3 linked regions of the Rattus norvegicus genome follow. Each later gene encodes a partner of the first gene's protein in a complex. Links are inferred from orthologs where the notes say so. Each region holds a gene or a part of one and is shown on either strand. Other genes may lie near its edges.

Region 1 (4,107 bases):
TAATGGGAATACAACGAACCAGAACAGAGTTGCATAACAAAATGTGACTGTCTAGAAAACTTGGCATGGTGGGAGAGGTGCACAAAATGTCCTGTTTAGCATTAGGTTTTGATGAATACTTTCTACTCCGAGTTTAAAAGCTCTACGGCTGATTCTCATTTTAAAATCACTAAAATGCAAGAATACTACATAAAAGCCTTGTTCCGGGCGAGCAGTAGGTCCGCTCCTGTCTTCACATGTGCACTACTGTAGTCTCCCAGGAACTGAAAATAGCCTTAGAGCCATAGGGCCTACCAATGAATGAATGGAATGCTTGGTAACATACATCACTTCCTTAGGAAGTAACTTTACTTGTGTTCTAACTTGAGGTACCCTAGTTTCCAGGATAGACAGGTTTCCCTCTGCCATTCTAATGTTTCCCGCGTTTAAAAGTAGCAGGAGTCACATGCTATAGTAGAACTGATACTAGAAAGAGCTGTGGGGTGGGATACTGAAGAGACCCACCCGTGAGCCCCGAGCGTCACCTGAACCCGGAGCGCCCCGCGGCCAGCCCCGCGCTGCCCCAGGTAGTGCCCCCACCATGAAGGGACCCTCGCAGAGCCTGGAGGCCGAAACTTCCAGGCCTCAGCATCCGACCGCGTCCGGTCGCCATGGAGACCCAAAGGTACCTTCTGGAGGAGCGACAGAGAAGCCCAGCACTGCCCCTCACGCGTGCGCAAAACCCGGACCGGGCTCGCGCATGCGTAGACTGGGTTTCTCTGTGAACACCTCCTTTGCTCTTCGAACGTCGTTGTTCGGGACAATCCCGGGCCCGGCTTCTTTCCCACGCCCCAGTCATTCTGACGCCGGTTCTTGGCCCATTAGCCTGTTATGGCCCGGCTCAGCTACGTTTGCTAACTGTCTTCCTGAGAAGAAACAAGCGCTGAAATTGTCACTTTCTAATAACTATGGCAAACCCACGACATGAACTTCCCAGTTGACACAGTCCTCTATAAAAAGACTATGAGGACACGCAATTTGCAACTAATCCGACTTTTGCAAGTTCTGTCTAAGCCAAGAGGCCATTGAACCAGGGATACCAATAACATGCCTGCCTCAACCGGGCCACAGCGCACGCGCAACGATCCGCGCAGAAGCGTCTGAGAAAACAGGATGGGCCCTTTCTTGTTGCATGGCATTATGGGAGATGTAGTCCATCCTGCCTGCCTTTCCTGCAGTTGAACAGGAAAGTGTGAAGCCATTAAACTGCGATTCCCGGGATGTCTGGTGTTTCCCGGGATGCTTTGCGAAAGCATGGCGGGCAAGATGTGAATGTCAGTAGGACGGTAAATAGGGCATTTTAATTCAAGAGAGAGAAAAAAAATAAAGTGTACCTAACTTCTCTTGTAGATTATTCATCTTGATATTCGCCTGACACAGGATGTAATGTGAATGGTTTGGTTTCACGTCTTGTCCGCCTGAGTGTGTGGATTACGAACCTTTAGAAGTTGCAGTTCGGAAGTCTCACAGTGTTTGTGAACATGATTTGTGCTTTTCTACGAGTTGTTCGGCATGCGGAGAAGCTGCACGGGTCGTTGGGCAGGCAGTTGTTGTTGCCACACTTTGTACTCACCAAAGCTTGCTTGAAAACCCAGCCTTTGAGATGGGGGCTGCGAGAGCAGAAGAAAACAGTGCAACCTAGAACTGTCCTTGGGTTCACCCAGAAAACCTTCTGGACACAAGGACCGGACCCCCGGAAAGCAAAGGAGGACAGTAGCAAGCAAGTGTCTATTAACAGGAATCAAAGAGAGGAAACCGGTGTCTCAACATCTCAGAAAGGTAAAAAGAAAAAAATAGTATCTAGGACTTAAGACTGTCAGCTCCTGTGCTCCCCACTTCTGGGAGTGTCTGCACTCCAGTATAGGACCTACTGAAAGAGAGGTGGAGAACTGCAGAAACACAAGGAATAGGAAATTATTAGGTCACGACAGAGTGTTGGGGAGAACAGGAGGTTGAGGCGTTTAGGCCAATGACCTGATTTGGGATTGCAGGAAAAAATATGGTTATGTCTTAGTCTAGTTGTTATTGTCCTCTCAATTTGGGGCCTCATGCGGTGTCTACTGATATGTAGTTTATGACATTATGGACAGTGGAATAGAAAGATTCGTGTTCCAGCCCTCAGCTCAGAGCCTGGTAAAGAGATAGGATTTGTGAAGCAATTACTGCTGAGATCAGTCCCATAATATCTACGATTTTTGGTAGATGACAATCTTTCTATTATTTGAAGTAGTGTTTTCTTTAAAGATTTGTTTATTATTGCTAGTGTTGCTGGTGTGTGTGTGTGTGTGTGTGTGTGTGTGTGTGTGTGTGTGTATACACATGAGTATAGGTAAAGAAGGAAGCCAGAAAAAGTCATCAGATGCCCCTAAGCTGAAGTTACTGGCAATTGTGAGCCACCAGATATGGTTGCTGGGAACTGAATTCTGGATGTCTACAAGAGCAGCAAATACTCTTAACCACTGAGCCATTTCTCCAGCCCCCTGAACACATTTCAAGTTCACAGCCTGTACTGAAAAACCAAAAGTATGTTCTAGAAATGACTTCTAAATAAGTAATTTTATTATATGTCATTGTACCTATGAAAAAAGTAGAGGGAAAAAAAATACCACTTGTTAAACTTTGATTTCTTGGAAAAAATAAAAATTTAAAGACTGAAGTTAGAAAAATCTGGGTTCCTCATGTGACTGTACATACATATAAATGACCAAAGAAGTAAAGCGCTCTCATAATCAGACTTTGCTTGTGATGTAGCTCTTCACATATAACATGCATTTATGTAAATAATGTGTCTGTACTCACTCCCCTTTGATTGATTACCTTATCTCCCCAAACTGCTCTTTAATCCATGTGTTCATATACTTACTTAGTGCAGAAAAAAATAAAAACAATCTCTGTAAGTTTATTTGATTCATCAATCTTCCCAACCAACTACATTTCAATTCCAAGCTCAGTTCTTTGGTTTTGTGCACCACTCAGTGGGGTCTCTGGGATGGGTTAAGAGTTGCCTTGATCTGGACAGGATAGACCTGTGTACACGTTGCCTCATCTTGTGACCATTCTCACTCTGAGAGATCGATAAGGGTTTTACGTTACTAGAACAGAAGCAGTATCTATCAGCGACAGAAATCCAGAGGTTCCTAGGCCCCGTGCATAGCCAGGCCACACTAAACAGGTCTGTTCTCTTCTGGCCTTGGGAGCTAAGCAGAACTAGGCCTGGTTTGCACTGGAGTGAGGGGTTCTTCTGAAGCTTGGGAGCATTTGAGATGAGCTACTGAGAGCAGTGCTCTAGGTCTGGACCCAACTGCTCCCTGCTAGGAACACCTGAAGCCTCCAGAGGCCACAGCTCTGTGGATACACGTGTAACTTATTGACGTTTTCTCTTTGCAGTGAAAGAAGCCGGGAGAGACGTCACCTACCTGATAGTGGTGCTCTTTGGAGTCAGCATTACAGGTTACAGACCCAGCAAGCACTTGAATACCTTTCCACAGCCTCTCACCCTACTGCTTCGCTTCACTGCGTTCTCCCTCTGCTTTTTCAGGCAGCTTGTTATATACGATCTTCAAAGAACTGTTTTCCTCATCCAGTCCTAACATCATCTATGGGAAAGCCTTAGGGAAATGCAGAACACACCCTGAGGTTAGTTTTCTGATGATCGTGTGGGGGAGGAGGAATGAATCCCTTGTGAAGCCCATGCCTCCACACTGTACTAAGGCAGTGGGTTGCTTTTCTGTTTTTAGGTCTCTGTTCTCTGAGGCACTTTGACCCTAGCACCCAAAGGTCACTGCGCACGCTCTCCTCCTCCCCGCTATGCCAGTGTCTCTGGCATCCTTTGTTTTGTGTCCTAAACCACAGAGTGTAGCTGAGAGAGTTAAAAGTTGACAGAGACTACATTTAGGGCACTCCACTGTAGTCAGTGGGCATCCAGGGAAGAGTGGTCTCCAGGAGGCACCCCAACTGTTTTAGTAATCCCAGGCTCAGTCTCTCGGGCATGTTCAGATTAACACAAGTAGAACCGTACAGGATACATGAAAGAATGAAGTATTATTAGGATCGTAGCTTCCTAGCTGG
Region 2 (4,142 bases), on another chromosome or scaffold:
AGTCATCTTACTGCACAGTCATTTGTCTTCCTCCCTGCACTTCCGTTGCCCTTGGGACTACATCAGTCATCGGCAACAGGCTGCATCCAGGATTAGTTATCTTTTCATGTATTTGTTCCGTGGTCGGATCCTGGAGAGCAGAGGTCATGTCTTATTCATCTTGTGTCCCCCTTTGCACTTTGCCTGCTGTTCGGGGGGCATAGTGAGATAGTCTATAAATCTGTTGACAGATTGAACGACTGATTTATATGCTGCTAGAGCCAGAGGTAGATGGAATCTTGATTCGACTACAAAACTACAGAGAAAAAGACCTGTGTTCACCACATCATTTCTGAGAGATTGCTGATCTTCTCTGGACTAAATAATGTTGCTGAGGTCAAGATAAATACCTTCTGTGAAGCCCAGCCTCGCTACTGCTGTCATTTCTATTTCTAAGGGATTGAGTGAAGGCCAGAGGAATGTTGGTCTTAGCTGCCCAGCTCCCTGAGGAGATCATATCTTCTGACGAAGGCTCTGTAAAAGGGAACAGGTGCAGAGGTGGGGGAAAGCGATCGTGGGACGAGGGAGCAGGTGTCAGTCTTCAGAGGCTCCGCCCCAGGCAAAGAGCCAGAGCCCTAGGGACCTGCCACTGACTCTGTGATGTTCCCAGGCTTTAATAGATTTTGTTTGCAGCCCTCTGTTAGTTTTGGGAATTCCTGTCTACTTTCTGGAACCCCTCATAACCCAGCACACATAACATGGAGAGCAGAGAGGATGAGGGATCAAAATTAGATCACTTTGGGTGCTCAAATACCCTCCTTAAAAGGCTGCTCTGGTTCAGAAGACACAGTGACTAATTTTGCAAATGCCTTGCAATCCATTCGAACCAGGAGATTTGTTCCTTTGTGACTCGTGCCCACAAACAACTTTCAAAGAGGGAGACCCAGTGACTTGCTCAGCCTTTCAGATGCTTCTAGCCTGTCACCAATCACAAATGTCACAATGTTAATGAAGGGGAAGGGTGAAAAAGTGTTGTTGGTAATAGACGAGTAAAACAGGAGGTGGTAATTGGAGCAGAGAAGGAAGGACGCAGACCCGAGGCGAGTAAGAGGTCAAAAGGGGGCTCGAGAAAGGAGTGTAGCCAAATTTGTGACTGCACGGGCCACCCAGTGTCTCGCCCTCCACGCAGTCAGCCTGAGGCGAGGAGGCGGGGCTCGGTTTGAGTCTCCGCCCCATGCCTCGCCCTTCCTAGAAGACCCCGCCCTCAGATGATCCCGCCCCACTGCGAGGAGTCTTTCAGCCCAGGCCCCGCCTCCGAGCCCAGAAACTCCGCCCTGCACCCAAATCCCGGAAGCGAGAGTTGCTCCGCCTCTTCCGAGCCGGGTCGCGACCTTGAGGCTGGGAGTCGGGTTTCGGAGCGTGCCGGGCCTTCGCCCGCCCTGCAGCCCCCTTTCTCACCATGGCCGCGGCCCGGAACCTGCGCACCGCGCTCATATTCGGAGGCTTCATCTCTATGGTCGGAGCCGCCTTCTACCCTATCTACTTCCGGCCCCTTCTGCGGCTGGAAGAATACCGTGAGTGACCTCTGACCCCGCGCAGTGGCTGCTCCCAGCGCTACCCCGAAGTCTTTAAGCCCCTACCCTAACTGTTCAAGGAGTACTGAGGAAGGAGGTGGACTTAGGAGTGAGGCTACCCAGGGTCCAGGCTCGCCCAGTGCAGCCCGGTGATCTCGGACAAGTGGCCCCACCTCCGACCTTCAATGTTAAGAGTCTAAATAATCAGTTGCAGGATCAGCCACAGAACTGGAGCATCTTAGGGGTCACAGAGGTGATGTGTATGAAAGCAGCCTGCACACAGCAGGTCAACACTAACACTAGTTCACACACAGTTACTATATACTGAATATTTAATGTGTCAGGTTAGTCATATATCGAATCATTGAATTTGCACAGCCTTCCCTTGAGGTAGGTACTACCCATTTTACAGATGGAGGTCACACAGCTAGTAAGTGGTGGGGGAAATGTTCCAACCCAGTCTTCTGCCTGCAGAGCCCTCCCCTCCATTCACCCAGGCTGAGATGGTACTTTAGTGGGAGCCTTGATCATCCTGAGTTGAAAGGTGTTTTTATGGTGCATCATTGCCGTCCCCTAAGATGTCTTGGAGCGGAAATATTTCAAAGCTAAACTGTTAACCTGGGTTTTGAGTTTTTCCTCAAATCGTTTTTTTAGATTCTGCTGGTTTCCTTCGTTTTAAGCTGGTTGCTCACATGACAATGGTGAATGCCGGGGGAGTCATTTTTTTCCTTAATCATTCAGGTCCTATCATTCTAAAAGCCAAACTCTCCTTCCTGGAGACCTATACCTCAGCAAGGATTAGCACTTTGATACATCTGAAGCCATCTGTCAGAGAGGAGAGATGAGGCATTAGAGGATCATTTTGTTCTCCAGGAACCTGAACCATCTTGAAGATGAAGAGGGCCAGCCCAGCCCCCTGGGGAATATTAGCCGGAGCTGAAGCTTGGCGGTTTGACGCTTCATGTAAATGCTCTGACCATCTCTAGTGCTGTAGCACTTGGGTTCCAGAGGCAAAGCAGTTTCAAGTACACACACGAATCCCCTGGCAGCAGCTTTTTACCAGCTCAGACTGAGACGGTCTCTGTGCTTCCTGCCTACAAGTCCTTCTGCATACCCCGTGTGTGGAAGGAACATGGGCTGTGTAGGGTCCTGCAGAATTCGTCTCCATCCTTTTCCCTTGCTGGGTCCATGCCCCGGGCTATTTTATTACAGCTTCTAGAGTTGGACTCGAGACAGAAAGATCTGCTGTGGGTTCCCTTCGAAAACTCCCAGTTCTGAAAACGGGTATGGTTCTTAGCCAGTGTGCTATCTATCTGGAGTTGGTTTTGCTTGTCACAGCTAAGGGACAGAAGGGGAGGTGAGTAGGTTATTAGTATCTACTAGATAGGATCCAGGATAAATTTTCCATGATGCACAGAAGTCACCTGTGAGGAAGCATCAAAGGGTGAGGGCTGCCCAGCTCTTAATCAGTGAGTCAAGAGGAGACATGGCTTCCAGGAATACTCCCCAGTCTTTGGCTGACCAAGTTGCTTTAGACGGGCAGGTCAGGCTCCAAGGCTGTCCATACCCGCTTACCTTTTAGCTTATTAAAATAATTCAGCCAACTTTAACCAAAAGTTGTAACTAAATCTTTCAAGAAAGTCATACTAAACAGCTAATTTTTATCTGAAGTTAATTTTTAACACCCTTCCAAGCACTTCAACTCTACCAAGCCATTTAGTGCTCATAATAACCCTTTGTGGTAGCTGTTAGCTGAATGACATATAGACAGGGTATTTCCTCACTCTGAACCTTGCCCCCCCCCCCAGCCCCCTAGGCTGTGGTGATGGTGTTTACTGAACTGAATTTACAGGCTTAGGGTGAATTAAGTAGAGCATTACTTGTAGAAGTCTCTAGTATAGTCTCATATGAGGAATTGTACAAAAAGCACTTTTAAAAGAGGGCTTTGGTGAGGGACGAGCTATAAGCAGTTGTGTGCCTAAGGCCAGCGACCCAGCCCTAAGCATGTCCAGCTGGCTCAACGTATGCTCAGGAACTGGGAGCCTGCTGTGCAGGTGAGCTTCTCAGCCCATTTCAATCCTCAGTATTTATAGTATTTCACTGCTTTCCTTTCATATACTCAGCCTGGATTTTAGCTGTCACTTGGGTCTGGTACAGTTTAGATGTGGGGCAGAGCTGGGCTGACCCCAGTCTCTTCCCCTGCCACCCTTCTCACTCCGTCCTGGCCATGTGCATCTTGTGTAGTGTTTTAGCCCAAGCATTCTCTGCCCCTTTACTCACTAACATCACTGTTTTATCTTTACTCACCAACTCTTCGTCTTTCCCATGCGCCCCTCGTGCTTTTCTTGTGTGCATTATTATTTTCTTTTTCTTAAAGCTGAAAAGAAATGTGTGCTGTTGAGAGGGTGGATGTATGGCAGCTTATGTGTGTCAATTTCGGAGGACAACTCTGGAGTCATTTCTCCCCTGTTTTAACATAGGCTGTGGGGGTTGGATTTAGGTCATTGGGCTTGCATGGTAAGTGCTTTACCGGCTGAGCTGTCTTGCTGGCCCCGGTTGAGGTCTTTCTGAAATACACCTGGTACTAGT
Region 3 (4,018 bases), on another chromosome or scaffold:
AAAAAAAAAAAAGAAGAAAGAAAGAAAAAGAAAAGGTGGAATGGATAGAAACTCCCTTCACAGCTGGCACAGTGACTAAGTTTTCCTGATAGTAGTTAAAATTAGGCTGATAGAATTTCATGCTTTTAGTGTTTTTTCCTTAACCAGGGAGGTCTCACATCTCAGGCTGGCATTGAACTCCACGTGCAACTGAGGATATAACACTGAACCGATGCCTTCACTTTGTACCACCATACCCGAGTATGTGACGCTGGAGATCTGACTCAGGGTTTTGTGCCTGCTAGGCAAACCTTTTACCAATTTAAGTATGACTTTAGCCCTATTTTTAGTCTCTTTTCTCTGGGCTAAACATAGCTCGTGCTTTCTGGGTATCCTTTGTAGAGAGGCATGGAAGAGGGTCCTGCATCAATAACTCCCAAAATCAATGGTCGCAAATTGGTCACGGCCCCTGAAATGGTCCAAGTAGCTCTGTAAGAGGCACACTTATTTTCGTCCTGGTGAGTTGGCTCAGTGGTAAAGTGCTCGCTGTCAACCCTGATAACTCCAGTTCTGTAGGTTCTCCTCAGACCTCTATGCATCCACCAGATCCTGGATATAAATCCATAAATAAATGTAATAAAAAGAATTTTTATTAAAAAAGTTATATATTACATTCCAGACGCTATGACCAAACAGTTCTCCCCTACAAGAGCTTCATATATTTTCTAAAGAGTCACTATTCAAAAAAAAAAAAAAGAGTCACTATTCACGGCAAATTAAGTAGGAATATTAATAAACAGCAAAAGTACTTAAAAAAAAAACAAACAATCCAAAAACAACAAAAAACAGCGTGTGGGGAGTGGTGACACACACCTTTAATCCCAGCACTCGGGAGGCTGAGGTTAGCTCACCTCTAAGTCCGAAGCTAGCCTGATCTACATAAGCGAGTTCCAGGACAGCCAGAGTTACACAGAGAAACTCTGTCTCAGGGATTAAAGGGGGGAAAAAAGAACAATAAATGTTTATCCCAGGCCACGGGGGTAACCTGAACTCCGTCGCTGTACTCCGAACCCTCAAACCTTCCACAGCCTGGCGGGGGAGCGGAGCTCGATTGCTATTGGCTGCGGAGGGGAATGATGACCCAATCCTCGTCCAGTAACACGCCTCCGCCTGGGATCACTTCCGTCGCGGGGATCAATTTCCGCCTAGCGTGCCCTACACTCTCGCGCGGGTTGGAGCCAAGATGGAGGAGTACGCGAGAGAGCCGTGGTGAGCTGCCGCCGTCGCCCTTGTCCCTTACCCCCTCCGCCCGCTGTGGTCGGAGTTCGAAGTGCAAGCGGAGGTCCGCGCCGCATGGCTCCGAGAGCTGGGCAGCTGTGGGTGGCGCGAATGAGCGTGACCAAGGTGGCTTTTTAATGCAGTGTGCGGGAACTCAGCACCCCGATGACCTTGTGCATAGGGAGGAGGTCCGGTGCCCGGCTTGGTGGAGCTTTGGAACCTCCTCCCTAGGGCAGGTGCTGTCGACCTTGTGTGGGGACAATAATGCTCCCCTCTGCCGGCTGAGGACCTTGAACACGTCCCTGGGCCTCGCTCTGCTCAGTTCTAGCTTCGACGAAGGGAATGTAGATCTCCGAGTGCCATACTTGAGGCCTTGTGTGTATGGTCATAAGTGTTTCCATGATGAAGCATTTCAAATGAGTAGACCACGAATTTCATCCACAGTCCAAGGGGTCTGGATGAGCTCTTGTGGGTTGGAGCGGCTTTTCCTGCGTGGAATTCCCGGACAAAAAGAGATAAATCAGTTTGTGGAAAATAGAAGGAGATGAGCTGTGTATGTTCTCCGAAAAGCCACGAACGGAAATAAATTCATCCATTAAGCGTTTATTAAGTGAGGGCTGTGTGCTTGGCTCAAGGAGTAAACAAGAGTAAATCAGGCATAGCAAGATAGAAAGTTAGTGTAATAGCTGTTGAGTCTCTCAAGTTTTTTTGAATAAAGCCTCAGGGGTCACAAGCAGATTTAGATCTTGATATTTAGGTTATTCTGGGTTTGTATTTGTTTGTAATGAGAGTCAGGGTATTATCCTCAAATAGTGGATCTGCCCAGGATTTTAAATTATTATTTGGTGGCACCCCCAAAAGTATGTTTGAACCCTCTGTCCTCCAGAGAAGGTTATCTCCATGTGTTGAGGTTGGATATGCAGGGTTTAGCTGGACTGTAAATTGGTATTGGATACCATATAATGACACAGATTGGTAGGAGAGGGTAATTTTGTTGCATTAAAGATTTTATAAGTTGCTGAGTTTTTCCCCAGGTCAGGTGGCACAGGCCTGTAACCCACACTTCATGAGGTAGAAGCAGGAGAACCAGCAAGTTTAAGGACAGCTTGGGCAGGTTCTAGGCCAGCCAGGTTAGACCTTGTTTCACACATATTTTCAGCAGTAGGAGTGCATGTAATCTCAGCACTTAGGCAAGAGGGTTGCCGGTTCCAGGCCAGCCCAGGATACATTGCAAGACCGTGTCTTAGTGTTTAATAAAGTCGCTGGACATTCCTTTTCTTAGTATGTCCTGAAGCCTGCACTGTCTGAAACAGTAAATGGGTTTAATCATTGTCATAATACTTCTTTTATCATTTGTTGTCTTTAGACTATATAAATATAGTGGAAAGAGTTTAGGGCGTTTAGAGTACCAAATTTTGTGCTTAAGTTGGCTGTACTACTCACTCAGTTGATTTTGGGCAGGCTGCTTAATTTCTGTCTGAGTCTTTGTTCATTTGTAAAACGCAGAGGAGATAGTCACAGACTTTTTGTCAAGGTAAAAGACTATGAATTCTAAACCACAAAATAGTTTATTATTCAGATTCTAGTAAGCAATAATGGTAAGTTTAAAAGCATACTGTTTTTATAGCGATTGCCAGGGTCTGTGCACTATAGTGCTTGTCTTTTGTAGGGAAGGATCATAGATTGGAGGTTAAGACAGGGTTTTACTATGTAGCCTGGGCTGGTCTCTGAGTCTTGATCCTCCTGCCTTTCTCCCAAGTGCCTATCTCTTGAGACTGACACACTGAGAATTTCTTCTACTTCTAATGGATGTGCTACTTACAGACCGCTTTTATGTTGTTGTTGCTGCTAACTTTAGACTTTGTGAAACTGTTTATAAGCCTGAGGAAGCCTCTCGGGCTTACCCAAAAAGCATGTGTGTGGGAACCAGGATCCAGGAGTGGGTGAGGGAGGTAGAGCCCCTAAGCTGGGAAAAGAGACTCCAGATCCCTGCATCAAGGTGCAGATCTACTGTATTGCACAGCAGCAAGCATTTTATACAGCCTTCGGACTAATGGAGAATTGACAGGAACTCTGGAGTAGCCAATCATCCCACTGTCACCATGAGGAGGTGCCAGGCTGCCAGAGCCTGAGGAGACTTCTGTAAAGGTGGGAAGCAGCCACTACCCTATTTCGGGCCCATTCCTACTAGTTTGCTAGGGTCCTCTATTTTGTGTCACATGGTATGCTAGTGGTTATGTGCTCCAGAGCTGTGACTTCCTCACGTTCTCCAGCTTGGGCTGCAGCATGCACTCACATAGAAACAACAGTCTTAGTGTTTGTTTCACAGAATTCATTTAGGTTTGAAACACGGTGAGTAATGGGTGCCAGCAGTGGACTAGACTCCCAGCCTCTTACTGGAAGGAGATGGTGGTGGAAGAATTACAGCTCTATTGAGTTGGTTGAAAGAGAATTTACCGTGTGTGTGTGTGTGTGTGTGTGTGTGTGTGTGTGTGTGTGTGTGTGTGTGTGTGAGTGATAACAAAGAAGTTTATATAAATCCTTAACAAGGCTGGAGATGCTGGATGTGTCAGATCCTGGATTCTATACAGACTTTTATTAGCCAGATCCCTAGAGGAGTGAGTGGTTTTACTCTCCTGGTCAGATTACTCAGATTTCAGTATTGTCTAAGTTAGGGAGCTGCATTTGGATATTGGGTTAACTTCTAACTGTCAAATAATATTCTAGTGTGTTAAACGGATCTGATGCAAACTGAAGCTTA

Evidence for each region. The genes of interacting proteins can lie anywhere in the genome.
Region 2: Timm21 (region 1) and Smim20 share a complex: the UniProt entries of both Homo sapiens proteins name them as parts of the MITRAC (mitochondrial translation regulation assembly intermediate of cytochrome c oxidase complex) complex. The link is inferred for Rattus norvegicus from reciprocal best matches to the Homo sapiens genes TIMM21 and SMIM20.
Region 3: Timm21 (region 1) and Timm17a share a complex: the UniProt entries of both Homo sapiens proteins name them as parts of the TIM23 complex. The link is inferred for Rattus norvegicus from reciprocal best matches to the Homo sapiens genes TIMM21 and TIMM17A.

What each region holds. Positions count from the first base shown.
Region 1 is NC_086036.1:80,591,438-80,595,544, reverse strand, and holds the start of Timm21 (mitochondrial import inner membrane translocase subunit Tim21 precursor), read left to right. Parts: upstream 1-1,307; 5' UTR 1,308-1,520; coding exon 1,521-1,818; intron 1,819-3,426; coding exon 3,427-3,489; intron 3,490-3,577; coding exon 3,578-3,675; intron 3,676-4,107. Other genes in the region: Fbxo15 (F-box only protein 15), read right to left, coding at 669-838. UniProt on the Homo sapiens protein: Participates in the translocation of transit peptide-containing proteins across the mitochondrial inner membrane.
Region 2 is NC_086032.1:61,932,733-61,936,874, reverse strand, and holds the start of Smim20 (small integral membrane protein 20), read left to right. Parts: upstream 1-1,342; 5' UTR 1,343-1,438; coding exon 1,439-1,553; intron 1,554-4,142.
Region 3 is NC_086031.1:49,291,605-49,295,622, reverse strand, and holds the start of Timm17a (mitochondrial import inner membrane translocase subunit Tim17-A), read left to right. Parts: upstream 1-1,218; 5' UTR 1,219-1,222; coding exon 1,223-1,248; intron 1,249-4,018. UniProt on the Homo sapiens protein: Essential component of the TIM23 complex, a complex that mediates the translocation of transit peptide-containing proteins across the mitochondrial inner membrane.